7 linked regions of the Sus scrofa genome follow. The main gene of each other region encodes a partner of the protein of the gene in region 2 in a complex. Links are inferred from orthologs where the notes say so. Each region holds a gene or a part of one and is shown on either strand. Other genes may lie near its edges. The genes, in order: LSM3, SNRPF, PRPF31, SNRPD2, SNW1, SRRM1 and CRNKL1.

Region 1 (4,164 bases), on a different chromosome or scaffold from region 2:
ATTCTAGGCAGAGGCTCAGGTGAGGAATCACATGGTGTGTGTGAGGAGGCCAAGAAGGAAGGTACCTGGCAAAGAAGACTAGGAAGAGACAACAGGAGAGGCAGCAGCAGCCAGATCATACAGGGTCTTGTAGGCCAAGGTGAGGAATCTGGAGGCTGTTATGCCAATGGGAAGACACAGAGAGTCTGAAGTGGGAGCATGGCAAAATCAGATTTTTTTTTTTTAAGGTACTTTGCGCTGCAGCACAGAAAACTCCTCCAGGGGGATGAAAAGAAGTAGGGAGACCCGTAGAGAGGCAACTGCAGTCGTTCAACTGAAAAGTGATGGTGGTTTCGACAGGGTATGTGGCCATGGAAACAGAGAAGTGGAGAGATTTGAGATATGGTTTTGAGGTTAAACTGATAGGATTTGCTTTCTGAAGGACTGGATGTGTGTTGGAGGGAAAAGGAGTTTGTTTTAACAAGTGATGAAGGGGTCAAAGACTGATATGGGGTAAAAGTAAGAAAGGGATAGGTTTAAAGGGGAAATCAAGTGTTTTGCTTTGCGCATGACAAATATAAGCAGCCTACTCGATATGCACGTTGTCAGGTGGGATCCAAATCTGGGACTCTCCACACACCACAGCACTCTAAGTCTTGGTCCCTTCGTCTCGTGGCGACACAACATAATAGCAGTACCTTTCACATATTCAGCCCCCTGCTTCCGCCTGCATCCTGGGGGCGAAAAGGAGCAGAAAGAGGCTACGCAGAGGAACTCGCGGTCGGCTGGGCTCTAGCGGAACGTCTCAGGGCGCATCACCTCTGGCCAGGAGAGCAAAGGCGCAGGGCCGCCGGGGAGCACCTGGGCACGTGCACACCCCCAGCCTCCCTAGGCCTCCGGAACACCGCCCCCAGCGCAGGTGGGAGGGAGGATGCCTCGCTCACACCTCCAGGAAGCCGGCCTCCTGCTACCCCCACCCAAACCTCTTCCACCCTCCCTACCAACCCCAACTCAGCCTGGCTCATACCCGCCTCCTTCTCCTCGCGCCGGGCTTTGCCCTCGCCCTTGGCCTTCTGGCCGCGCAGTTTGCGCCCCCGCGGCGCCCTGCCCGCCGAGCGCTTTGGAGCCATCTCTGCCCGGGCAAGACTCGCCTAGAGCGTGACGCACCGCGTCTCCGCGGGACGCAGCTCGCGCGCGGCCCCGCCCCCAGGCGGTGCAGGGCCTGGTCACGCCCCCTCCGGTAGATTCCCGCCTGCGCCCAGGCTGAAGCTCCGCCCCAGCCTCAAAGGGACCAATGCAAGCTGCAGGAAGCAAGAAGCTGTAAAACCAACCTCTTTCTACTTCCAGTGCATAGAGTCCTCACGTTTCCGGAGACTGGGGTGGGCATAGGGAGCAGCTCTCGTGCCCTCGCGAGAGGACGGAAAGGGCGCAGGGTTTGAAACATGGCGGACGACGTGGACCAGGTGAGTATCTTCTGAAGAGTTCGCTCTGGGGCGGCTTCTCCCTGTCCAGGCCAGGGTGTGCCCAGCTTTGTTTACCAGGGTTGTTTTCCCCAAGCTCAGGGTTGCTTTTCCCAAACTCACGAGAAAGTGGCCTGTCACGCCGCCTCTTTCTGGGTCATCACGGCCTTAACCTGCCTCTTGGTTAACCGCGCCCCCTCCGAATTTTGCCTCAGGCCCTGAGACCTTTGTTGTTCAAAACCCTCCTGAAAATTAGTTATTCCTCACTCTTCTCACTTCCTTTCTCTTGAGTCTCACGTTGATTTGTAGAATGAGAACCATTATCCTTGCCTGCCTCACGGAGCTCTCGGGATTCTGATAGAAAGGCTAATAAAACATTTAGTGGGTTATTGTCATTACTGAGCGCAACAATGATTACAGGGTCTACAAACACTAGTGAGTATCACCTTTGTATAGTTAGAAACCTTTCTAAATACCAGGGACATCGGCATTGACTTGGGAGATACCTGCCCAACTTGGGGCTTATATTCGAGGGAGCACAGATAACAAGTAAACATAAATATGCGAAACATATGGAAACTGTGATGTGGTAGGCAGGAGACAGGGAGCTGGTATTTAGAATAACTGATGGTCCTTCAGGCTTTCTCACCTGCTGTCCCGTCTTCTCCAAATGCTCTTCTTCAGATGTTTTTGTGGATTAGGCCGCAGCTTCAGCTGTTTACTGAAATCTCACCTCATATCAAAGAATAGGTCTCTGGCCACCTGCATAAAATGCACTCTCCCAGTCTGCCTTATTTTTCCTCATAGCATGTTCTTTGTTCATATTGAGTATATGGTTCCTTGTTTAATGTCTGTCTCCCCCAGCTAGAATGTGAGTCCCTTGAGAGCAAGAGTCTTGTTTTGTTCACTATTCTGGGTTTAGAACAGTGCTGGAAACACTCAACAAATATTCATTGAGTGAATTAATTGGATGGTCTGGGAGGCCTTTTGAAAAGGCAGTACTTAAAGCTACAGGATAAAAAGGATGGACAGTGGGAGGTAGGTCTCTGTCATGTATATATTCTTACAGTATTATGATTACTTACTTATATGCCTTTCTCCACTAGAATGAACTCCTTGAGGGTAGGGACTGACTCCTGTATCACTGATCTAGTAACTGGCTAGCTGGTCTTTAACAAACATCTGTTGATCTGGAGATGGAAGCAGTTGAGGTCAGGATTTCCTTTCTCTTTTTTGCATCTAGCCCTTTAAGGCTATAGAGACTGTAACATTCAGTCACCTTCCTCCAATGACCCTATGTAATCCCCGAAGCAGCTCTCCTTAAATAATCTTATCAACTCACCCTTCCCTTCAACCATCCCTTCCACATGGACCCCAGTCATCCTAGCCATCTTCATGAAGGGAAGATTGTGGCTTCCTCATTTTGTAAACAAGGAAACAGAATTAGAGATGGTTTTTAAACCCAGTTCATGAATGTCAAAGTCAGGGGTTGAACCCACACTGCCTGACTCCAAAGCCAGTGCTTTCAACCAGTATTTTTCTATACTGCCTGCTAAATATAATCATCTTACTGGCCAGATGGCACCCTAAACTCAGCCTCTCCTGCACTGCACTCATAATCTTTCCTCAAACATTCATCTCCACTTAGTATGTGGTAGTCATTGTGTATGTTCTTCCAATTGCTAAATGATAACATGAAAGAAAGATGAAGACCCTGAGACAGTAACTCCCTATACCCTGAAATGGGGTCAGACAGTTTGGATTTTGAGAGAAGAGAGTGCAGTCATGATTATTTTGTTGTACAGCTCCTTTCTGTGTAGGTATGTTTCAGCCCTCATTTATCCAGCACTTAATATACGCTAGGCACTGTTCTAAGCCTTCATATATGTATTTTAAGCCTCACAACAGTAGTATTAGGTAGGCATTCCTGTTACACACATTTTAAAAATTAGTAGACTGAGGCATAGAGGGGTTAACTAACTTGCTCACAGTCACACAGGGCACTGCTGGTTCAGAAACTTCACTCTCTAGAACTGTATTACTAAGCCTGTTTCTTTTATCAGCAACAAACTACCAACACTGTAGAAGAGCCCCTGGATCTCATCAGACTCAGCCTGGATGAGCGAATCTATGTGAAAATGAGAAATGACAGAGAGCTTCGAGGCAGGTTACATGTGAGTAAATTTATTAAATCACCTTGAAATTAGATTATTTCCTCAATGTTGCTCCCTAACCCCACCCCTTGGAAATGTAAAAACTGTCCACTGTGAAAGAGTGTTTTGAATAGATGAGGAGGTGGAAAGTCACCTGTATTTCTAAACACCAAATGAACTGTACTTTATTCATATGTTTAACACATTTTTCTCTTAATGGAAATATGTCTACTAGAGAACATTTTCATTTCTTTCATTTTTTCCTTTCTGTTTATTTGTAAATAAGATTTATTTGTCCTCCATTCTTATTTAAATGTTCTTTAAATTACTGACATGCATATAAATTTGCGTTTTCTTGTGAAAAATTTTACACAGGAATACGTAGAGTAAAAGGTGAAATCCTATTTCTTCTATTGGGTCTATAGTCTTTCAGATCTTTTCTGTATATTTACACAGAACAGATATACATGAATATGTGTCTATATGTATATATTTACACTGTATACACCCTCTCTAAAAAATGAATGGGATCATGCTATACTTTTGAGTTCTGAATGTCTGAGTTGCAGTAC
Region 2 (4,249 bases):
TGTTCTTTATCATTTAGATGGACACCATTAAAGTAAAATTAAGATCTACCAAACCCTTACATAGCCAAGGATAGTTCCAGCCTCTTTCACATTAATTACTATCTCACAGCCTTGCAGATAGAACTGTTTTTAAAGCCACATGAAACTGAGGAAGCAAACGCCTTCGGGAGTTAAGAAACTGCCCAATACCATTCCCACGTGATAGACGTTCTAAACTCAGACTGCCTCTAAAGTCTTAGCCACTACTCCACAATACCGCAACATTTAAATCTCAATTTTTTCTTCTTTCTTCTTATTTGTCTTTTTGTCTTTTCAAGGGCCGCTGCCGTAGCATATGGAGGTTCCCAGGCTAGGGGTCTAATCCGAGCTATTGCTACCGGCCTACACCACAGCCACAGCAATGTAGGATCGCAGCCGGATTGTGACCTACACCACAGCTCACGGCAACGCCGGACCCTTAACCTCCTTAACCCGCTGAGCAAGGCCAGGGATAGAACCCGCAACCTCATGGTTCCTAGTCGGATTTGTTAACCACTGAGCCACGACGGGAACTCCATAAATTTCAATTTCAAATTCAACTCCTTAGGGCTGCAAAAACAAAAAACAAAAAAGAAAAAAAAATTTTTTTAAAAGAATGTATATATGTGTATGATTGTGTCATTTTGCTGTACAACAGAAACTGGCACAATGTTGTAATTCAGCTATACTGAATTTATATGCAATTTATTTATAATATATATTACATGTATATAAATTTATATCCAAAATGTTTTAGATATATATATATTTGAAAAAAATAAATCCAGTATGAGGACTGTAGTGGGCCTCTGCTCGCAAAGCACAAGAAACAGGTGGACCGGGAGGCCACCACACCGTATTTTAGTCTCTGTCTGACCTCATCTGAAAAATATTCTGCAGTTGACTTTCTTCCGGTGCGTTTCACCTCCTTAAGTCTATCTAGTCTTGCTTCTTCCACTTCCTCTGAGATGGGGTGAAATGAGCACTACAGAATAGAGAGCCATCAGGTAGAACGGGACTGTGGCAGAGGAGTCCCCATGGCTCAGGATCTGTGGGAAAATGAAGAAGAAACTTGAGAGCCCCGAGCTCGTTTTCCCAGGTGTGCAAAGCCAAAGGAAACTCCACCAGCCAAGTTGGCGAGAAATCACGTCCATTCTGCAGGACAGACAGCAAACCCTCGAGGCAGGCGAGCAAACAGGCAACTCGAGCCACCTCTCTGCCTTTGCAGTGCCGCAGGTATCAGACCCATGCTGCTGAAGGTTTCCTATTTCCTGCCCCCGCCGGGAAGGCGCTCGGAAACTCGAGCCTGCTGGTTGCCAGGAGACAGGCCCCAGTCACTTCCGCCAATCAGCACGCATCTTTTTGCATCCAATCACAGAAGCCGGAAGAGCCGTAGTCGGAGGGGAAAGGTCACGCTGCTATTTGGCGGCCATTTCTCTGGAAGCTTGGTGGCTGGGAAGTTGCTGTAGCCAACTCCAGTCCACGAGGGCCGGACGGCGCTGAGTCGGCGGCGGGTAGTCTGCAGCATCTGCCCACTACAGCAGCAGTAGTCGCGATGGTAAGGAGAAAGAGAAGGTCAGAGTCGCCCGTGTGGGGGAGAGAGAGAGAGAGAGAGGGCGGGAGGGCGGGTGACCAGCTTCGCCGGGCCTTCGCGCGTTTCCCATTCATCCGCGTGAGGCCCCGCGCAGCCTGTGGCCAGCCCCTTTCTGCCAGTTCTGGGTGTCTGACGCACGCCCTCCTTCCCCTCCCTAGGAATGTCCCCTTCCCCCTCTTCTTCGTTTGAATCTGAGCCTGAGCTGCTCTTGCTGCCTGGGACCACAGAGTTGGAGTAAAGATGAAGCGGTTTTTCACGTACAGCTTACAGCACTCCAAAATCCGCTTTTGTCTGGTGATGCTGGGAAGCCCTGCAGCCCTTTGGAATACTGAGCCCGAGCTTTGAGCATTCATTTGTTCTCTTAGCAAATTTTTACTGAGCTCCTGCTACCTGTCAGGTGTGTTCTAGGAACTAGGACTATAGGGCGAGAAGTACTGGTGTGGCCCCTGCTCCAGTTTAAGTCGGTGTGAGAGAGAGAGAGACATTGATCAAATAACGACAAATACATAATTTCAAATAAAGTTAGTGCTAAGGAGGAAGCACACAGGATGCTATGAGGGGGTACCATGCTACGTTAGAAGTGTTTAAGGATGGCATCTTTGGGAGAAGGGATTTAACCTGAAACTTAAACGATATGAAATACACACCCTTAAAGAGGCGGAAGAGTGTATACACCAAGCTCAGGAAACATGAGCATAGACTCTGAGCCTCGAAAGAAAGCCTGACCAGTTGGAGGAATTGAGAGAAAGCCACAGCTGCTTGCTAGGATGGAGTGTTGGGCAAGTATTAGGCAGTTTTAGGAGGTCTGAGTTCTACTCCCGGGTCTACTTTGGAAAGCCATCAAAACATTTTAGGTAGAGATATGATGTGATAAAAAATACTTGCCGTGTGGCTAATAAATTGGAGAAAGAAAAGAGTGAAGACCATAGAACTATTTGAGATCACTCTGAGTATGCTTATCCTAGAGGGGTTTAGTAGCCAAGTTTCTTGGTTCTTTTCTCTCTTTGGGTGGATGGGCCAACAGATGAAGGAAGGGGGAAAAGTCTGAATTCGTTGGAGATACTGTTGCATTTGCTGAATAAACAAACATTAAGTGATTGATTGCCTATATGTAGGAGTCACTGCTAAGTCAAATAAGATCCAGGCCTACCTTTTCATAGTGAGAGACTCAATTATGATCTGCCCCTGCCTCTTCAGTAACTTCATACAAAACTAACTTTTATGTCCCTGAGATCACCTTGCCGAGTCATTCTTCCCTCCTTTTGCATAGGTAGCCTCCTCTGCCTAGAATAGCCTCTTTCCCTCTGGAAATATCTGTCATCCTTTAAAACAGGCATTTACTTACTTCAGGCAACTCTTCCATTTCTCTTAACACTGGATTGTTTGGTATCATGTAATAGCATTCTCCTCTTACTACATTACAAAGTAATTGCCCACTCGTGTATGTTTTGACCCTTCCCTCCCACTGTAGGTCTCTTAAGGACAGGGACTGTCATCTGCCTTTTTTTTTTTTTTTCTTTTTTTTCTATTGCCTTTTCCTTGGTTTCATTATATTTTTGGAACAGTGAGTGAATGTTTCTTAAGTGAACATTGAATAAGTCTTGATGGGGTTGATGAAATTGACTGGCTGGATATTTCTTTGAAGTTCTTCCACAAATAAAAGTGAAAATTATGTAATAACGTGAGATGGAGTCAAGAGTTTGCTTCATTTGGATACCACAGCATATTGGTAATTTGGCAGAAAAGAGTAGGTAATAGAAACCAAGCTAAAGAAACTTATTCAGTTGGGTTCTTTTTTTGTTTTTGTTTTGCAGAGTTTGCCTCTCAATCCCAAACCTTTCCTCAATGGGTTAACAGGGAAGCCAGTGATGGTGAAACTTAAGTGGGGAATGGAGTACAAAGGCTACCTGGTGTCTGTAGATGGCTATATGAATATGCAGGTAAGTGGAAGAGTTATGAAGATCATTAGATTGTATTTATTTTTCTTCATGTGACTTCTCAAAGGTTTGGTGTGACTTACAGGGATATAATTAATTGACAAACAAAGCAAAATTAAGGGGTCAAATCAAGGCTAAGGAGGATGTTATAATTTGATGAACTTTGTATGAGACATATTAAAAATTCAGCCACAGGAGTTCCCCGTCGTGGCGCAGTGGTTAACGGGCCCGACTAGAAACCATGAGGTTGCGGGTTCGGTCCCTGCCCTTGCTCAGTGGGTTAAGGATCGGGCGTTGCCGTGAGCTGTGGTGTAGGTTGCAGACGCGGCTCAGATCCCGCGTTGCTGTGGCTCTGGCGTAGGCCGGTGGCTGTGGCTCCGATTCAACCCCTAGCCTGGGAACCTCCATATGCCGCGGGAGCGGCCCAAGAAATAGCAACAACAACAACAACAACAAAAAGACAAAAGACAAAAAAAAAAAAAAAATTCAGCCACAGATTTGATTCCCAGGTGGTTAAAAGTAAGAAGAGCTCAGGCGTTTGATTCACAATGTCATAAGAAAAATATACTGATTTGTGGGGAAAGCAAAACATCCCAGCACTTGGTCCGAGAGAACCTTTTCCAGTGAAATTCGTGTCTTTTGATAAATGCTAAATGTACAAATCTAAGTAATTTGATAGAAGCAGTTCTTAAGAGAGAAG
Region 3 (3,500 bases), on a different chromosome or scaffold from region 2:
TCCAGTCACCACTGGGGACACTGAGGCACGTGACAGCATTTACCCAAAGATTGAGGTCAGTGTGGGGAAGCAGGATCCACACCCGAATTTGTCCTGCCCCGAAATCACTACCTCTTCTTCTTTTTTCGGCTGTGTCCGCAGCATCAGAAACTCCCAGGTCAGGGATGGAACCCGAGCCACAGCAGTGACAAAGCCAGATCCCTAACCCGTGAGGCCACCAGGGAACTCCAACCACTGCTTCTCTCTACGCTGCAATTCTGCATGCATTTGTCCCCCTTGTGTGGGCTGAACCGAGTCCCCTACTGAAGTCCCAACCCTCCCCTCCCCACATCTCAGAACGTGACTATGTTTGGAGAGAGGGCCCTTGAAGAGGATGCAGGGGAAATGATGTCACAGGACGGGCCCTGATCCAATAGGGTTAATGCCCTTACGGGAGGAGACTAGGACAGAGCTGCCCATGGAGGGCAGACCACACGAGGACGCAGCAAGGAGGTGGCATCTGCGGGAGGAGGCAGTGCTGCTGACACCTGAGCTGGCTCCCAGCCCCCAGAAGGTGGGAGCAACCTGGGTACAGGGGCTTGACCCCCTGGCTGCGGGGCCAGGAGCCCGAGCAGGTGCTGAGACTGCGGAGCCCCCAAGGAGAAAGGGAACCCGCTCGTTAGTCCCAATACACTGCGGGGACCAGCGCCACCATCTGCTTCTACACCGAGGCTCAGAGCTGCCTTGACTACTGCTGGCAGCCCCGGGGGTCCAAGGCACAGCTGGGAGCCGCCCGGACGCCCTGGCCTTTCCAGCGGCCGCACTGACTCCCTCCTCAGCAGCCCGTTTGGCCCCAGCTCTGCCGGGCAGTCAGGGGCCACCTGGCTCAGAGCCGCCCTCCTCTCTCTGCGGGGGGGCCCCGGGCCAGAGCCCAGTTTAGAGAAAGGGGCGTGGCTTCCCGCAAGGTCACAAGCCGGGGGACCGCCCCTGCCCAGGGCTGGCTCTCACCCATGATCTTGGCGGCGGTGGAGGCGCCGATGATGATGGAGAGGTTGGGCGCGATGAAGGACATCCGAGACTCCACGTACTCGTAGATGCGGTGCTTGGAGGCGTTGAGCTCCAGCGCCATGTCGCAGGCCTCCTCCAGCCGCTCCAGCTCCTCGTCCGACAGCTGCTGCCTGCAGTGGCGGGATGGGGGTGTGGCTGAGACCCCCACACACACACCTCCTGGGAGGTCCCGTCTGCCTGGTGTGGGAGCCCCAGCCTCCCAGGGGTGTGCAGCTTCTGGACAAGTCCCGCTGGCCCCGAGGGCTGGAGGCAAGGGCTGCCGGGAATCAGTTCTCAGGGGCACCAGCCTCGCGGCCTGGGCGGTGGCCTGGTCCTGCCCATGCGGGTCCACCTGGGGGGGCCCCCTGGCCAAGGCCACGCTAGAGGCAGAGCCTCTGCGGGGCTCCCTCTTCCTGAAACGCCCTCCCCCGAGCTCGCCTCATCCTGCAGGTCTCGGCCTTGCTGACCAGCCAGGCCCACCCTCCCAGGGCCTCCCTCAGAGCACGGCCACCAGCTGCCATCACCCTGCCTGTTCAGGGCCTCTCCATTTCCCGTGGACTTCCTGCGCTAGAGCCGCCCTGGGGGAGGGCCCCGCCCAGCTCTGGTGCTGGGTGAGCAGGGGCGAATGGAAGAGCATCCCTGCCATCTCACAGAGGGGACCCAGGGCCAGAGGGAGAAGGGGACAGGCCCGAGGCCACATGGCCAGTCAGGGAGCCCAGCCCTGGCCCCCCAAAGCCAAGCGGGATCCCTTCCCTCCCTCGGCTGCCCCACCTGTGCTGTGAGGTGCACAGGGCGCGGCTGTAGAGCTCAGGAGGGCTGCCACACTCAAGGTCACCCACTGGAGCGGTCAGCTATGGGCCCACTTGTCCCCTCTCCCCCAGGAGAGCATGGTCCCTGCCTGAGGCCAAGTCCTCCAGGAAGCCACCCCAACCCAGTCGGGGAAGGTGCCCTTCCTCAGCACTCTCTGCACCCCTTCCCCTCCGCGCCCTTTGCCCTTGACCTGTGCACACAGCTGCTTCCTCCCAGACTGGAGCTCTGCTTTGCTAAGTCCTCTGACCCCAGTGCTCAAAACAGTGCCTGGTGATGTGTCAGCATCTGCTCTGCGAACAAGACAACCCGAGGGGTCTCCACCCCATGGGGCTCTGCGCTGAGGCACAGACGCCAGCAGGGTGGGGGAGACCCGGCTTTCGTCCTGCTCAGGGGACGGCAGAGCACAGACGGGCACTTCTACTCTGGGATCTGCCCTCTGCCGCACGGCCCTACGGGCGCGGGGGCAGGCTGGCTTCTCACTGGGACGCCCCAGCCCCAGCCCCAGCCCAGCGCGGGGCCTGGCTCGCAGGAGATGCTCTGTAAACACACGTGGATCTGCAGTGAACGGTCCTCCTGAGATGGACACTGGGGCCACTGGGGCCCCGAGACCATCGCTGCTGCCAGCCGGGCCTGCTGTGTACGCACCCCTGGGTGGTGGAGGCGGTGACGCTGACCACCATGATGGTGGCGTTGGTCAGGATCTGCTGCAGGTTCTCGTTGTTCTTGCACTTGTCCAGGCTGTTGCCCAGCTCCTGGGGGCGAGAGGCAGGAGAGGGGAGGCCCGGGGCTCAGGGAGCTCTGGAACCTCTCAGGCCCCTGCTCTCGCCCGGCCTCTTCCAGGTCTGCATGCGGGGCGCTCCCCCCCGCCTCCCCCCAGCTCCACGGCTTCACTGCCCACAGCTCAGCAGCGTGTGCCCTGGGCTGGCCGACCCGGAAATGGCCCCGCTGCCCGCATCCACTAAGACTGCAGGTCTGACCACGCCACTTCCCGCAGGCAGATCCCTGCCACCGCTCTTCTCCGCTCCCGGACTCGGGGCAGCCTCTGCTGGGGTCCCCGCCTCCACCTGCCTGAGCTTCCCCTGGTGGCTCTCCCTTAAGACCAGGGCCTCAGAGGCCAGAGGGGACCCGACCCCTTCAACCTCACCCCCTCACTCCCACTCGTTCCCCGAACGCTCAGGGGCCACTGGCATCTCGGGGTCTCTGTCCCCCATTCCCATCCTGCCTCCAGCTGAAAGCTGAGCGAGGGGAGCCTTTCCCCTAGACCCGGGGGCCCAAGAGCAGGGTCCTGCCTCCCCTTCACACTGGTGGCTTCAAGCCGCCCCCCCTCACCTTGACGGTGCGGATGTAATCCAGCGCATTGGGGACCAGAGACTCCAGCTCGGGGAATCGCTTTGAGTACTTGTCCCGGATGAACTTATGGATGATGTCTGAGGGGGAGAGGGAGGGGAGGGGCCCGTGAGGGGCGCGCAGGCTCCGCGGGTTCTCCCAGCATCCACCTCTCCTTCCTTCTTCAGTAAAGGACCCCCAGCTGCGGCTGGGCTCAGGGACACCCAGCACACAGGGCCCATTTCCTGCTGTCCCTCCTAATGGATGCAGCCATGGGACTTAGTGCTGGTCCACAAGATGTGAGCTCATGCCACATGTGCAACTTCCAGCCACTCCCG
Region 4 (3,966 bases), on a different chromosome or scaffold from region 2:
ACCCTTCCTCTTACGGTGCAACCGCTATTATAGAAAAAGCCCGAAGCCTCATTGCATTGGAAAGGGGCATGCGCTCTAACGACGAAGATCGCGGCACCTGCGGCTAGGGCCCCACGATAACGATAAAGCCACGTCAACCTGAGACTTTGAGGAGGGGGAGGCGGGGAATAAGGGCTCCCCTGTCCCCGTCCGGCCTCACCCGCATCTCCCGGCCCAGAGGCAGCTCCTCAGTCTGGCGGTGCCAGCCGCTCCAAATGGTATAGAACACCGAGGCCACCGCCAGCGCCAGCAACAGCAGGGGCAACAGCTGCGCCCGCGGTAGCAGGCGGCGCTTGGGCGGTGAGGGTGGCTCCAAAAGGCCGCGTTCCCCAAGCCGTAGCCGGGGCCGCCCGCGGCCCCCTGAACGCATGGCAGCTTCGCCCTGAAACCGGTCGGGGACTGCGGATGGAGTTTAGGCCAGCCAAGTCCCACCCCATGGAATCACCGGACCAATAAGCAACAAGAGCGGCTGCACCAACCCACCCTTCAGCAAGCAGTAAAGCCAATGGGGACTTTCGTACTGAGGACACGCCTCCCTGTCTCCCTGAAGCTTAAGGGTTGGTTCCCCTGAGGGTTGCACAACCCAAAAGGGAGCGCGAAAGAGGTAGGCACCGCCTCAGCGGAAGAGGGGAAGCCAATGAGAAGCATTTGATCCTAGAAAACAGCCGACCTCCTGGGCGCGGGTCCACGCCCCTCCCGGATGTAAGCAAAGGATTGGTTATTCCAAGTCCAAAGGATTAACAAACACATAAACGGACGGTCCCCTAAGTAGAAGAGGAGGTATCCATCCCTGAAGCGAGGAGCCGATTGGCTTCGTGGATGCCGCGCCCCCGAAGGCAGGGCCGGCGGGCATTTGGAAATGGCTTGTCCTTTCCCTCCTTCAACCTGTGCGGTTCTACAACGAAATGGTTTGAATAAGTCCTGCTTTCTCTTCCTCTCCATCGTCAATATCTGCCCGGTACAGTCCTGAATGGCCTCAAAGTAGTACGTAAGAGTTTTACCCTACAGCCGCCTGTGGCGAGCAGAGATCGCTATGGCAACAGGCCACGCCCCACCCACTAGCTGTGTTTGCGCAAGCGCCCACGGAAGTGGGCCTCAGGAAGCGGAAGTCCCGCCCTTCTCGCTCCTTTCAGAGGGCGAAGAAGCAACGCGGAGACGGTGGTGACTGGAGTGCGCGGTCGCGACAACTACTGCCACCGCCATGTGAGGCCGGGCTAGGCTTAGGTGGCAGGAGTGGGTTGAGGGTGTAAATCTGGCCACTTGCCGGTGGAAGGGGGTGGGCAGAGCCTGGGGCGGAAGCAAACATTTTCGGGGTAAAGTGGCGTACGTTACCGATGAGTTTGAGAACAGATGTGGGGCCTTTTTCGGATCCTGACTTTAGGAGCAGGAGCAGCTTTATCAGATAACGGGCTGGGCTTTCCCAAATAATTAGTCTTACTGAAGCGAATGTTAAGGGGAAGCGATGTACGAAAATGGAACCTGGGAGAGGGGAGTACGGACATGTGGGGAAGAACGATTTGAAGTGAGGATCTTATCAGGGTAATTTGAGCTGGAGACGGTTAGCCTTTTGACCTTATTCGTCGTTATCATGGGTCTCGAGTTATCGGAAGGATTTTACTTACGTATTCATGCAACAATTATTTATTGAGTGTTCATATGTCAGGCTTCTTTAGACACAGAATATGTTAGTGAATTACCCCACTCCCCCAAGGGAAAAAATTCCATTTTGCATTTTATGGGTTGGGTTGAGCCAGGCAATAAATGTAAAGGTAAAATATATGGTGTGTTAGGTGACCGGGGCTATGAATGAAGAAACAGTAGAGCAGGGTAAAACAATGTGGAATGCCAGTTTTGAGAGACAGGACACATGAAGAAGGGAGCAACTGGAGCAGAAAGCTGGAGAAAGTGAGCGCACAAAGATATTTAGGGACGTATCCAGGTAAAGGGGGAAAAGCAAATGCAGAAGCCTAAGAAGAAAGTTGCTGAAAATCTTCCAAGACACCCCTCTGGATGGAACGGAGTGAGAGAAGGCAGCGGATAAAGGGTTTTTACTTTCTACATTGAGATAGGAGCCTCAAGAGAGTTTCGCAGAGTGAGATGATATGACTTGGACCTTGGCACCAACCAGAGACTGCTCTGTGAAGAGCAAACTTGGAGAGCATGGGTGGAGGTAGGGAGACCATTACGGCTCTAGGAGAGAGTCGATGGAGGTTAAGCCATGGTGAGAAGTGGTCAGATTCCGATATATTTGAGAGGCAGGGATGATGGGATTTGCCAGCAGATTGAATGTAGGATGTGAGAGTAAGAAGAGTCAAGTTGACGTTAGAGGTTTTGCTCAAAGACATAGCAAGATGGAGTTGCCATGGATGGAGACGAAGGCAGCTGTAGGTAGATTAAGTTTGGGGGTACCGCGGGGCCTGGTGTTCAGCCTAGGACGTGCAAGCTTGGAACTGTCTATTAGGCAGCTGTGTGGTGATGCTAAGAGAGAGGACTGAGCCGGAGGGTGGGTGTGTTGGGGAGACAGTGAGCGAGAGGGCATGACCACCCAGGCTCTGGCTCCAGGCCCTGTCACCTATGAGTTCCATACTTGCCCACTCAGGAGCCTCCTCAACAAGCCCAAGAGTGAGATGACGCCAGAGGAGCTGCAGAAGCGGGAGGAGGAGGAGTTTAACACGGGGCCGCTGTCCGTGCTCACACAGTCGGTCAAGAACAACACCCAAGTGCTCATCAACTGCCGCAACAACAAGAAGCTCCTGGGCCGCGTGAAGGCCTTTGACAGGTGAGCACCTGGGTCTGGGGAGGTGGTCTGTCCTGGCCTGGAGAAGCAGTCCCAGCTCTAGTCTGAGGAGCCTGGATTCTAGGTTTCTTAGAAGCCTGGGGCATAAGCGTCTGAAGGTGGGGTTCCTGTCATGTCTCAGTGGTTAACGAACCCAACCAGTATCCATGAGGACACAGGTTCGATCCTTGGCCTTCCTCAGTGGGTTAAGGATCCGGCATTGCAGTGAGCTGTGGTGTAGGTCGCAGGTGTGGCTCAGATCCCATGTCTGTGGTTGTGGTGTAGGCCGGCAGCGGTAGCTCCGATTTGAACCCTAGCCTGGGAACCTCCATATGCTTCCGGTGTGGGCTTAAAAAAAAGAGTGCCTGTTGTGACGGTCTCTGTTGTTCCTCCAGCTGTAAAGTTCAGCCATGGACTTGGGGGCCAGTCCTGGAATGATGTCCTGGCTCTGCCTCTTAGCAGCCGTGTGACATTCAGCAAGGGACCATATATCTCTTCCCTACAATGGCCGTAATCTTGATGGTTGCAAAGATTCAGTCACTTAATATATGTGAAGCACAGTCAGTCCTTAGGAGTAGCGCCCCCGGCACACGGTCTTCCTCATCAGTTTTCTCAGTTCGTGCACAGTGGCCTCTGCCCTTGTGGGGTACTGTCTTAGGCTCCAGAGATGCCATGGTGACTGAATCATACATGCCTCCTGTACTCAGGGGAGTCTACAGCAAACACATAATGTGTCAGGAAGACAAGTGATGGCAAAGTCTGTGCAGAAGAGTAGAGCCAGCTGAGAGTTTGGAGTGTGGAGAGGGAGTGCTGCTGTCCTCGGTGGGTCATGCAGGAGGCCTTCTAGGTGGACAGATGGGGATAAAACGAAGGTGCAACCTAGGGTCTGCATGTTTCAGCCATGGGGAGCAGCAAGTGATTTTTCCTCTCTGGGCCTCAGTTTCCTTATCTGCAAAATACTATGCATAGAATAATACCCCTCAGAACAGTCGTAAGGGTCAAATGATTTTCTGTAGGAAGAGCACTTAACTCAGTACCTAACATGTGGCAAAGGCTCAGTAAACATATGATCGGCAGGAGTTCCCTTTGTGGCTCAGCGGTAAATGATCCCTACTAGCATTCATGAGGGCGCAGGTTCGATCCCTGGCCTT
Region 5 (3,500 bases), on a different chromosome or scaffold from region 2:
AGTGAAGTGTGAAAGTACACAGTTAATGACACTCTAAGTCTGAAATTCCTAAGCTATAAAAATCAAAATGGCTCTGTAGATAAATTGAGCCCTTAAAACTAGTACAGTGACTGTGAGAATTGATAACATAGAAAATGTGTAAACTTGTGATTGGATGAAAATTAGATTGTCTATAGAAATCATTTTAAGACCTGAGCCTCAAGTAAAATAAATTATGACAGTTACCATGGTATCATTGCAATGTGGATTGCATATATAACTGAAACAGGAGAGGAATTAAGTTAACCTGAATGTCAAAAATCATACCAAGTAATCCAGTCATTGACATCTTTTTCCTCAGAATTCTAATAGGATAAAATTACTAAATGTGGTTAGGCAAAGAACTGATTCTAGCTTATTGAAAATGTTTCTAATTTGTATCCAGACCCCCTAACCCTTTATAGTAATAGCAGATATAGACCATAGTGGTTTTATATCTCAGCATGCATTATAAGGGGATTGCTCAAGTTAAAGACTTCCATATGAAGAATGATTCTCTTGAGAAAGGATAGTCTCTTCAGTAGATGGTGTTGGAAAAACTGGACAGCTACATGCAAAAGAGTGAAACCAAACCACTATCTTACACCATGCACAAAAATTAACTCAAAACAGGAGTTCCCATCATGGCGCTGCAGAAGCGAATCCAACTAGGAGCCATGAGGTTTTGGGTTCGATCACTGGCTTCACTCAGTGGGTTAAGGATCTGGCATGCTGTGGTGTACGACACAGATGCAGCTCGGATCTGGTGTTGCTGTGGCTGTGGCATAGGCTGGCAGCTGTAGCTCCAATTCGACCCCTAGCTTGGGAACCTCCATATGCCGTGGGTGCGGCCCTAAAAAGACAAAAGATAAAAAGAAAAGTTAATTCAAAATGGATTAAGAATTTGAATATAAGACCTTAAACCATAAAATTCCTAGAAGAAAACATAAGCAGCAAGCTCTTTGCCACTGGTCTTAGCAAATGCAGTCTCTTGGCAGTTCTTTTCCACTATCAGGAAGCCTGATTGTAAAACCCTGTCTCATCTAATCATCATGTATCTGAAATGCTGTAAGAGCTGCCATCCCAATTATGCATTATCAAGGAATATATGTTCACAAGATGTGAACAGGATATACTCATTTTCTCTGCTTCTGAGATTGGTTGTATTTAACTTGAAATTCAGCTTGTTCTGTGAAGAGTTTTCACTCTGTGACGTGGTATTTCATAACAGGTCGAAACTGCAGAGAAATGAAAACCGAGATATCAGTGAAGTCATTGCTCTTGGTGTGCCCAATCCTCGGACTTCCAATGAAGTTCAGTACGACCAAAGGCTCTTCAACCAGTCCAAGGTACTAAGCGTCTAGGAAAATGCATGTCTTAAGTGTTGATGTGAATACCAGTCCTCAGGGAAAAGAAAATTAACGTATCATTGGCTTGGATCAGCCTAAAGTATGCTGGCATAGTGACAGGAAAAAATTTGAAGTTGCATGTTGTAACTTGAGACAGTAGAAATAGTTCTGATTTGACCTCTTAGAATTAGCCAAGATTTGAGGCACTATTAGAAAGTGAAAGAAATTAGGTGATTAAAACTTTTCTTCTGGGAGTTCCCACTGTGGCACAGGTTGTTAATGATCCAGCTCATCTCTAGCATTGCTAGTTCTATCCCTGGCCTGGCACAGTGGGTTGAGGATCCGGTGTTGCTGCAGCTGTGGTATGTCACAGATGTGGCTCAGAAGCAGTCCTTGGGCCAGGAACTTCCATGTGGCACAGGTGTGGCCAAAAAAGAAAAAAACAGAAAACAAACAAAAGGGTTGATTCTTTTATTTCTAAAATAGAGCCAGTGTCCTACAAAAGTCTCAGGTTATTTTTGTTGTTGTTGATCTTTGAAAAAAAAAAAAATGTCTTAATGCTATAAAAACATGAACTTTGGATTTTTAAAAAGTGAAGCCATAAAACTAAAGTACTAGTGAGGAAGTCTAATTTCTGGTCCCAGTTGTCATTAACTAGCTAGGACACATTAGGCCTGAAGTATCTTTGGGTTTTACTTCACCCAATATTGATTATTTACTGTATAGTCAATGAGAGCAAAGGCAGATGTGTTTTTGTTTGTTTTCTTCTTCTGTCCTTTTAGGGCTGCAGCCGAGGCATATGGAGGTTCCCAGGCTAGGGGTCTAATCAGAGCTATTGCTGCCGGTCTACACCACAGCCACAGCAATGCCGGATCCTTAACCCACTGAGTGAGACCAAAGATCGAACCCTCAATCTCATGGTTTCTAGTCGGATTCGTTTCTGCTGCACCACAACGGGAACTCCAGGTAGATGTGTTCTTGCCCTCAAGGAACCATCAAGTCTACTGTAAGATATATGTACGTAAATAAAGACAAAGCAGACTGTAATAATAAAGAAGTATACGATTCTCATGGTGTATAGAGGGGAAGTTAATTATGACTTGGAGATTTTAAGATGTGAAGGTAGCATTTTGAGTAAGCTCTTCTATTTAATAAGTTATTGGGTCCTTTTTATGTTCCTGGCATTGTTCTAAGACTTTCATTTATTATTTCACTTAATTCTTATAAAAACCATATGAGGAGTTCCCATCGTAATGCAGTGGAAACAAATCTGACAAATTTTATTAATAAATAACATGTACATTTTTAATGTTGTCTATTTTCCACAGGGTATGGACAGTGGTTTTGCAGGTGGAGAAGATGAAATTTACAATGTTTATGACCAAGCCTGGAGAGGTGGTAAAGATATGGCCCAGAATATCTACAGGCCCAGTAAAAATCTGGACAAGGACATGTATGGTGATGACCTAGAAGCCAGAATAAAGACTAACAGGTACCAAGGCAAACAGCTTAGTTTCAGTGTCCACGCCACTGGAAACAAAGTAAAGTAGTTCATAGTCTTTCTCTTTTTTCTCTAGATTCGTTCCCGACAAGGAGTTTTCTGGGTCAGACCGTAGACAAAGAGGCCGAGAAGGACCAGTTCAGTTTGAGGAAGATCCTTTTGGTTTGGACAAATTTTTGGAAGAAGCCAAACAGCACGGTGGCTCTAAAAGACCCTCAGATAGCAGTCGCCCCAAGGAACATGAGCATGAAGGCAAGAAGAGGAGGAAGGAGTAGATACTGTCTTCAGTGTATGAACTGTTATTCATAACCCTAATGATGCAAGTCATACGGGCGAATACTTTGTAAAATGGCCAGAATGAAAACCAAATCTGGGTGTCAGAGCCCAGCAATACTTTTTATTACAGAAGGGGGGGATGGAAAAATTCTACTTTGAATTATTTAGTTTTTTTAAAAGAGTGGGTTGTGTTTGTGCTTCTCCCACCTTTTGGCATTTATACTGCCCCACACATGAAATTAAGGCCACTTCCTTCTGAGTGACATTAGTACTTCGGGGTTAATATTTTGTCTAAGAATAACTGCTTACGAATAGTTACCCCAACCCCAGTGAGTAGAAAGAGGATGTTCACCTGT
Region 6 (3,500 bases), on a different chromosome or scaffold from region 2:
CTGTGCAACTCAACCCGTGGGAATATATCAAAAAGAAAAAAAATCAATAATTTGTAGCAGTAATACCCAGATTTGGAGCCTTAAAACCACTGATGACTTTAAATTTTAAATTTCTGTATTACAACATTGTATTTTTCTAGGCTTTAAAGCAGTTGTTCCTAACAAGGAATCAATCACCTGGAGAATGCTTTTATCATATATCAGCTTGGTGTTGACATTGTGGCTCAGTGGTAACAACCTGACTAGTATCCATGAGGGTGTGGGTTTGATCCCTGTCCCCACTCAATTGATTAAAGATCTGGGGTTGCTATGAGCAGTGGTGTAGGTTGTAGATGCAGCCTGGGTCTGGCATTGCTGTGGCTGTGGTGTATGCCAGGAGCTGCAGCTCTGATTCGACCCCTAGCCTAGGAACTTCCATATGCAGCACATGTGGCCCTAAAAAGACCAAAAAAAAAAAAAAAAAAGAATATGTACCACTAGACCATAGCCCAGACTTAGTGAACACAAAGTTAAAATAAGCTTTGAAGCTTTTCTTTTTCTTTTGTCTTTTTAGGGCGACACCTAAAGCTTATGGAGGTTCCCAGGTTAGGGATCAAATCTGAGCTGCAGCTGCCAGCCTGTACCACAGCCAGAGCAACATGGGATCCAAGTCACATCTGTGACCTACACTACAGCTCACAGCCACGCCAGATCCTTAACCCACTGAGCGAGGCCAGGGAGCAAACCTTCTTCCTTGTGGATACTGGTCAGATTTGTTTCCGCTGAGCCACCAAGAGAACTCCCCCAGCTGTTTCTGCTGAACATTACAATTGAAAAGCAGTGCTCTAAGGCAGTATTTTCAACTTTTTTCACTTTCTTTCATGTTAAGAATGTTTTATATCATGACCCAGACTGCATATTTACGTACTGAAACAAGTTTCACAAGACAAAAATTATTGCCCTTGACACAAGTAAATCACTTTATTTATTTACTTATAAATTCTGTTCCGTACCCAGGGCCTTGACTACACTAGTTTGTATAAGACTGCTCTGAGGGAGAGAATGACAGTTGCTGCACTTTGGGGTAACAGTGGTTGAAACTAAATTATCTTGACCCCTCAATTATAAATGCTGCTGACTCTGAATCAACTGTTTTTTTGGTTTAGTGGTAGACGGAGGAGAAGTCCTTCCCCACCACCCACCAGAAGGCGACGTTCTCCCTCTCCTGCTCCTCCACCTCGACGACGCAGGTCTCCCACGCCACCACCACGACGAAGGTACTTTATTGGAAATGCTAGTAGGGCAACTTTTAATCTTTGTGATTGAAATATTTTATGTGAGTTGCATTGCTTACCTGTTTACAAAGTACATCGTTCTACAGTTCCATTTATATGAATAATGGATCCTTAACCCAGTGAGCGAGGCCAGGGATCGAACCCACAACCTCATGGTTCCTAGTCTGATTTGTTTCCACTGCGGCAAGACGGGAACTCCTGTGCTGAATGACTTTCGACAAACTTGAATTCAGTTTGAACTAAAATTTCACAATTAACCAGAATGCCCTGTTTGTAGTCATCTAGCATAAATAGGAATTTACTAAGAGTTTTGTTTTGTTTTGTTTTAACCTTAAATGAAAGTGAAGGTATTGCATTTCCACTGGGAATTCTGTTTGTCTAGTGCTGTGAGTGCATAGTTTTCTTTGCATTATATTTCTTTAGTTTCTTGGACTTCTCAGCTTAATGTTTGTGGGGTTTTTTGGTTTTGTTTCATTTCGTTTTGTTTTTGCCTTTTAGGGCCGCACTTGGGGTATATGGAGGTTCCCAGGCTAGGGGTCAAATCTCAGCTATAGCTGCCAGCCTATACCACAGCCACAGCAATGGGGATCCGAGCCAAGTCTGTGACCTATACCATAGCCGATCCTTAACCCACTGATAGAGGCCAGGGCTTGAACCTGCGTTCTCATGGATGCTAGTCAGATTCAACTAACCACTGAGCCACAACGGGAACTCCTAATGTTGTTTTTTTCCTAGGACTCCTTCTCCTCCCCCACGTCGACGCTCACCTTCCCCAAGAAGATACTCTCCTCCAATACAGAGGAGATACTCTCCTTCTCCACCTCCAAAGAGAAGAACAGCGTCACCCCCTCCTCCCCCTAAACGAAGGGCATCACCATCTCCGCCACCAAAGCGTCGGGTCTCCCATTCGCCACCTCCCAAACAAAGAAGCTCCCCAGTCACTAAGAGACGTTCACCTTCATTGTCATCAAAGCATAGGAAAGGGCCTTCCCCAAGCCGGTCTACCCGGGAAGCCCGGTCACCACAACCAAACAAACGGCATTCGCCCTCACCACGGCCTCGAGCTCCGCAGACTTGCTCAAGTCCTCCGCCTGCTCGAAGAGGAGCATCGTCATCACCCCAAAGAAGGCAGTCCCCATCTCCAAGTTCTAGGCCCATTAGGAGAGTCTCCAGGACTCCGGAACCCAAAAAGACAAAAAAGTAAAAATATTTTATGCTTTTTTTGGTTAGGAACACTTTTAACCTGTGTAGTTCTTCATGTTTAGAAGCTTCCCACCCCCTGTTTACTGGGAAGTCACATAAAAGAATAGCTGTGAATACAAATGTTTAAGACACTGAGTACTGCTGTTTGTTTCATAGATTCTTTTCTGTTTTTTTTTTTTTTTTCTTAGTTTTTTAAAGTATAGTTGATTTATACTGTTTTGTCAAGTTTTGTTGTACAGCAAAGCAACCTAGTCGCACACATTTCCCTGTGCTGGACCTTCTTTTCAGTTTTAAATGTCATAGAATTTTACTTGGATCTCAGAGGTAGCAAGTTTATTGAGGATTGTGCTTCCAAACCTAGCTTTGAAGTGATACGTAGCATATTTCTTTCATGTCTATGTAAGACCGATGAAAGCAGTCTTAAATAGGAGCTGGCATTCCTCATTTCATACAGGAAGGATCATTAACAGAATAGATAGGGCATTGTGGGACTTGAGCTACTCTCCAGCAGTCTTAGATGATACAAATTCGTTAGGTATTAGTATAGACAACCAGCAAACTAAGTGCTATAAAATATTTAAAATTTAGATCCGGTTTTTAATGGTAGTTGGTCTTTTTCTCTTAAGAAAGAAGGATATCTTTTTGGACAGTAACTTTTATTTTTTCCTTTTTTTTTCCTTTTTTTAGAGTTGCCTCACCAAGCCCTCAGTCAGTAAGGAGGGTCTCATCTTCTCGATCTGTCTCGGGATCTCCTGAGCCAGCAGCTAAAAAACCCCCAGCACCTCCATCTCCTGTCCAGTCTCAGTCACCTTCTACCAACTGGTCACCAGCAGTACCAGTCAAAAAGGCTAAAAGCCCGACACCAAGCCCATCACCGGCAAGGGTATGTCTGCCCTGTTTGAGCATCCTTTATAATTGTACATGGTCACTTTGAAGGAGAGAATTTGTCTTTTATGGTTCAGAGCACCCACGGCATGTGGAAGTCCTGGGCCAGGGATGAAACCCATGCCATATAGCAGCAGC
Region 7 (4,100 bases), on a different chromosome or scaffold from region 2:
TAGATGATTAAACTTTGTCAAATCAATTGTGTATAGTTACAATCTGAAGAGAACTCAAGGGAAATATCTTTTTATTTTAATAGCTATTTCTTTCCTTAGGTGACTTCTATCACAGTTATATAAAATCTCAATTTATTTAAAATTTGAAAAGTGAGAAAACGTTCAATATTTAAATAATAATAAGATGTACAGAAACTATGGCAAACGTTTTTATATTGGTTACAGGTGACTTCAGTCTGGGAAATCAGCATAAAATTTCTTCTGCAAAGGTGGATGTGATCTGCATACATAAATACATAAATATATTTTCCAAACACCAAAAGAGGCTTTCAACTGTCAATCTTTTAAACAATGAGCTATCAAGCCATGACAAGACAGGGAGGAATCTAAAATGAATATTACCAAGTGAAAGAAACCAACCTGAAAAGACTACACACTATATAATTCTAATGATATGACAGTCTACAAAAGACTGCCATTGAAAAAAAATTAGTGGTTACAGGAAACAAAATGGGAAGGAGGGATGCATAGGCGGAGCACGGAAGATTTTTAGGGCAGTGAAAATGTTCTTTACCATTCCATAATGGTGGACAGATGGCACTGTATTATTTGTCAAATCCCACAGAATGCACAACATGACGAGTAAACCCTATGTAAACTATGAAGGTTGGTTGATGAAGATATGTCAACATAGGTTCCCTACGCTGGTGGTGGATATTGATAGTGCAGTGGCTGGAGTCCAGGGCAGGAGAAATAGGAATTTTCTGTACTTTGCATTCAATGTTCCTGTGAAACTAAGCCTGCTCTTAAAAAATAAATTCTATTTTTAAAAATTCTCTTAATCATTGGCACACACATATTAATTTTTGTTTCTGAAAGCAGTTCAAGAAATATTCCGACTAAAATTTACTGAGCACATTACTTATATTTTTCTTTTTAATCCTGGTGAAATAGATATTATCTGCGTCTTATAGTTAGGGACATCGGGGCTAAGAGAATTGATGAAATTAAGGCACAAAGAAAATTTAAATATGTTTATCTGACCACAAGATTGGCATATTTGCTATTACTCTGACGATTTATTTTCACTCTATTTCTATTATCTGGCTTTTAAAAACCTTCAGTTACTTTAAATTACAAGCCTTAAAGTTAAGTATTTAGTCACAACTAGCCAGAAACCAAGAGAGAGTAAATCTCAAAGACTACAAAGCCTAAAATGCACAGCGGCGTCGGGCCGCCTAGGAGCCTAGCAGCTCGCCGCTCGGCATGCCGGGAATAGCAGTTTTTCTGGCCAGCCTCTTTTTCCACGCCCTCGAGCGTATTGACCGGAGCCGGGTTCCTATCCCCTTGCCTGGCAACAGGGCTCCATAGATCCACCCATCCTCGGACGGGCATCCCAGTCCCGGAGACGACCTGTGGATGAGCGACCGGCGCCCTGCACTTTCCCCACGTCCCTACCGGGAGCCAGCACTATCCAACTCACCTGCAACTCCAGCCGCCGTGCTCCGCCCACGGCTCCTAGGAGGACGCGCAGACCGTTACCACAGAAACGACGTTGCCTCCGTCACGGCGCCGTCGGGAGGTCAAACGTCCCCCAGCCACTTCCGCTTCCGGTTCCGGGATCCCGATTGTTTTCGGAAATCCCTGAAGTGTAGGCGAGCGTTCCCGGTTGGTTTGTGGGGTCCCGGGCTTGCCCGAGGTCTGACGCTGCAGCCATGGCGGCCTCCACCGCGGCCGGGAAGCAGAGGATCCCGAAAGTGGCCAAGGTAGGCGGCGGCGCGAGCCTTGAGGGAGGAGGCCCGGGAAGGGGGTTGGCCTGGCCTCCGCGGTTCCCGGGGCGGGAGGCGTGTGGTCCAGGGAGCCGGCCAGCCCCATGTGGGGCCGCGGGAGAGCTGGAGGGGAAGGGTCAGCGGATGGGGGGCGCACCCGCGTTTGCGTGGCCATCGTCTCGGAAGGCATTTTTGCGGTGGGAGGACTGGGGTCGTTCCACACAGACCAGCTGAGCCAGGTAGCGCGCTAGGCGCTGGGGAGCTCCAACGAGGGCGAGCAAGGAGCAGCTTTCAAATAAGATACAAGTGTAAAGTATCTTTACAAGTATACAACCTTGAATGCTGCTCAGGCCACGTGGAACATGCCGTGGCAAACTGGGCTTGTGTGAGGGGTCTCAGAGTAGACTGCTGAGAAGTGATACCTAAACCGACCCTTGAGGCGGAGTAGAAGTTGGCCAGCTGAGAGTGGATGGAATGAGAGTAGATGACAAGACCTGCGAGTTAGCATAATTTAAGAAGAAATCTGATTTTTCCTTCGGTGGCTAATACTTAGTGAGTGCTTAATATGTAAGAGGCTTTGTCCTAAGCCTTTACAGATACTCTCCCTCCAGTCTGTTTCTCCAGCCCAGGTGTCTTTCTTGAGCCTTTATCCACTTAGATGATGATTCTTTGAGATACCGCATATAAAGTGCATAGCACAGCATCTGGCACTTAATGTTCATTAGGTATGAGCTATCATTTTATTATAATCATCACTCTTCGCATGACACTGAACAATTATCAATTCAATTCCACAAACTTTTATTGGGCTCCCTGAGTTCAATATAATGTGAGCCCCATAGGTAATTTTTAAGTTTTCTCATAGCTACATTAAAAAGTGAAAACAGGTGACATTCATTCCCCCCACTAAATTTTTTAAATTTAACTAGTTGCAGGTGACATTAATTTTAATTATATATTTTATTTAACCAATCCAAGATATTGTCATTCCAACATGTAATGAATATAAAAAATTTAATTAGGTAGTTTATCCTTTTTTTCATACTAAATCTTCGAAATCCCATTATATTTTACCACTAGAAGCCATCCCATTTTGAACTCAACAAATGTGATTATGGCTACTGTGTTGGATCTAGGACTCTTATAGCCTAATAATGAGAACTTACTGAGTAAGTCTTTGGCTTGAAGTGCCATGAAAAATCAGTTGTAATTATCCACCTGGGACATTATCCTCTACCTGGGGCTTAAGTTGAAGAATTCTGTAAATAGAGGTTGAAATGCTAAATATAGCACACATCTTGATAAAACCTTTGGTGAGAATTTTATCTAGGCAGCCTCAGAGTTTACTATTATATTAATCTGAAAGGGAAAACTTGGTGCTTTTTTTTTTTTTGCTACCTTATATCTTGAGAGCTTTATCTGTGGTTTTGTGATAGATACTATGCATAAGATAGAAAACAGTATTTTTTAACTTAATTTTATGGAGAAATGGGAGCATGTCATGCAAAGGAGGGCATCTTGTAATAATGTTTATAAAGTTCACATCCTAAGAAATGTGTATTTGTTTCTTAAACCTTGTGTGAAGAGGTCTACTAAAAATAGAAATGTCTCGTCTTAAAGGTGAAAAACAAAGCCCCAGCTGAGGTACAGATAACTGCAGAACAACTGCTAAGAGAAGCTAAGGAAAGAGAACTTGAGCTTCTTCCACCTCCCCCTCAACAGAAGATCACAGATGAAGAGGAGTTAAATGATTACAAACTAAGGAAGAGGAAGGTGAGTCAATGTGATGTCTTTCAGTCTGTTGATATTGTTAAGAACAGGTCAGAAGTGGAAAAGTTCCTCACTGGTTAAGAGAGACTATAAGATAAGGTTAGTGTTTGTAGCCACATGAATAGCATGACTTCTGGTTACCAGGTGATTGCATTTTGCCTCGTTGTGCGTGTTAAGTGTAAAGAAATTAGATCCACCAGAGACAGATTTTTTTTAGTAGATCAAAGATGGGTGGAAGTTTAACAGGCACAACAACTGACAGCTGGAGGAGGGGTGAGCCTAGGGAGATTCTGTTCTCTTCTTCTGTCTGTACTGCCTTCTGTGTTAAGAAGTGAAACCTAGGAAAAAGCCCTAGGAAGACATGAGGATCTGAATTGACCTCTTCACCCTAGAATGTGGTTTGGTTTTTTTTTGGTCTTTTTGCTTTTTTTAGGGCTGCACCTGCAGTATATGGAGGTTCCCAGGCTAGGTGTGTAACCGCAGCTGAAGCCGCCGGCCTACTCCACAGCCACAGCAACACCAGATCCAAGCCGCATTTGCGACCTATACCACAGTTCATGG

What was found.
Region 1: SNRPF (region 2) and LSM3 share a complex: the UniProt entries of both Homo sapiens proteins name them as parts of the U4/U6-U5 tri-snRNP complex. The link is inferred for Sus scrofa from reciprocal best matches to the Homo sapiens genes SNRPF and LSM3.
Region 3: SNRPF (region 2) and PRPF31 share a complex: the UniProt entries of both Homo sapiens proteins name them as parts of the U4/U6-U5 tri-snRNP complex. The link is inferred for Sus scrofa from reciprocal best matches to the Homo sapiens genes SNRPF and PRPF31.
Region 4: SNRPF (region 2) and SNRPD2 share a complex: the UniProt entries of both Homo sapiens proteins name them as parts of the SMN-Sm complex. The link is inferred for Sus scrofa from reciprocal best matches to the Homo sapiens genes SNRPF and SNRPD2.
Region 5: SNRPF (region 2) and SNW1 share a complex: the UniProt entries of both Homo sapiens proteins name them as parts of the minor spliceosome. The link is inferred for Sus scrofa from reciprocal best matches to the Homo sapiens genes SNRPF and SNW1.
Region 6: SNRPF (region 2) and SRRM1 share a complex: the UniProt entries of both Homo sapiens proteins name them as parts of the minor spliceosome. The link is inferred for Sus scrofa from reciprocal best matches to the Homo sapiens genes SNRPF and SRRM1.
Region 7: SNRPF (region 2) and CRNKL1 share a complex: the UniProt entries of both Homo sapiens proteins name them as parts of the minor spliceosome. The link is inferred for Sus scrofa from reciprocal best matches to the Homo sapiens genes SNRPF and CRNKL1.

The regions. Positions count from the first base shown.
Region 1 is NC_010455.5:70,345,881-70,350,044, reverse strand, and holds the start of LSM3 (U6 snRNA-associated Sm-like protein LSm3), read left to right. Parts: upstream 1-1,364; 5' UTR 1,365-1,421; coding exon 1,422-1,442; intron 1,443-3,502; coding exon 3,503-3,613; intron 3,614-4,164. Other genes in the region: XPC (DNA repair protein complementing XP-C cells), read right to left, coding at 570-713, 1,007-1,109. UniProt on the Homo sapiens protein: Plays a role in pre-mRNA splicing as component of the U4/U6-U5 tri-snRNP complex that is involved in spliceosome assembly, and as component of the precatalytic spliceosome (spliceosome B complex).
Region 2 is NC_010447.5:87,620,064-87,624,312, reverse strand, and holds the start of SNRPF (small nuclear ribonucleoprotein F), read left to right. Parts: upstream 1-1,449; 5' UTR 1,450-1,573; coding exon 1,574-1,576; intron 1,577-3,426; coding exon 3,427-3,552; intron 3,553-4,249. UniProt on the Homo sapiens protein: Plays a role in pre-mRNA splicing as a core component of the spliceosomal U1, U2, U4 and U5 small nuclear ribonucleoproteins (snRNPs), the building blocks of the spliceosome.
Region 3 is NC_010448.4:56,001,508-56,005,007, forward strand, and holds part of PRPF31 (U4/U6 small nuclear ribonucleoprotein Prp31), read right to left. Parts: intron 3,264-3,500; coding exon 3,166-3,263; intron 2,589-3,165; coding exon 2,482-2,588; intron 1,158-2,481; coding exon 988-1,157; intron 1-987. UniProt on the Homo sapiens protein: Involved in pre-mRNA splicing as component of the spliceosome. Required for the assembly of the U4/U5/U6 tri-snRNP complex, one of the building blocks of the spliceosome.
Region 4 is NC_010448.4:52,039,675-52,043,640, reverse strand, and holds the start of SNRPD2 (small nuclear ribonucleoprotein Sm D2), read left to right. Parts: upstream 1-1,166; 5' UTR 1,167-1,240; coding exon 1,241-1,242; exon of another isoform or gene 1,243-2,141; coding exon of another isoform or gene 2,142-2,209; intron 2,210-2,638; coding exon 2,639-2,818; intron 2,819-3,966. Other genes in the region: QPCTL (glutaminyl-peptide cyclotransferase-like protein), read right to left, coding at 200-409. UniProt on the Homo sapiens protein: Plays a role in pre-mRNA splicing as a core component of the spliceosomal U1, U2, U4 and U5 small nuclear ribonucleoproteins (snRNPs), the building blocks of the spliceosome.
Region 5 is NC_010449.5:100,718,415-100,721,914, reverse strand, and holds part of SNW1 (SNW domain-containing protein 1), read left to right. Parts: intron 1-1,249; coding exon 1,250-1,367; intron 1,368-2,695; coding exon 2,696-2,859; intron 2,860-2,944; coding exon 2,945-3,143; 3' UTR 3,144-3,500. UniProt on the Homo sapiens protein: Involved in pre-mRNA splicing as component of the spliceosome. As a component of the minor spliceosome, involved in the splicing of U12-type introns in pre-mRNAs.
Region 6 is NC_010448.4:82,336,692-82,340,191, forward strand, and holds part of SRRM1 (serine/arginine repetitive matrix protein 1), read left to right. Parts: intron 1-1,145; coding exon 1,146-1,256; intron 1,257-2,009; coding exon 2,010-2,474; intron 2,475-3,164; coding exon 3,165-3,360; intron 3,361-3,500. UniProt on the Homo sapiens protein: Part of pre- and post-splicing multiprotein mRNP complexes. As a component of the minor spliceosome, involved in the splicing of U12-type introns in pre-mRNAs. Involved in numerous pre-mRNA processing events.
Region 7 is NC_010459.5:28,109,072-28,113,171, reverse strand, and holds the start of CRNKL1 (crooked neck-like protein 1), read left to right. Parts: upstream 1-1,300; 5' UTR 1,301-1,715; coding exon 1,716-1,766; intron 1,767-3,389; coding exon 3,390-3,542; intron 3,543-4,100. UniProt on the Homo sapiens protein: Involved in pre-mRNA splicing process. As a component of the minor spliceosome, involved in the splicing of U12-type introns in pre-mRNAs.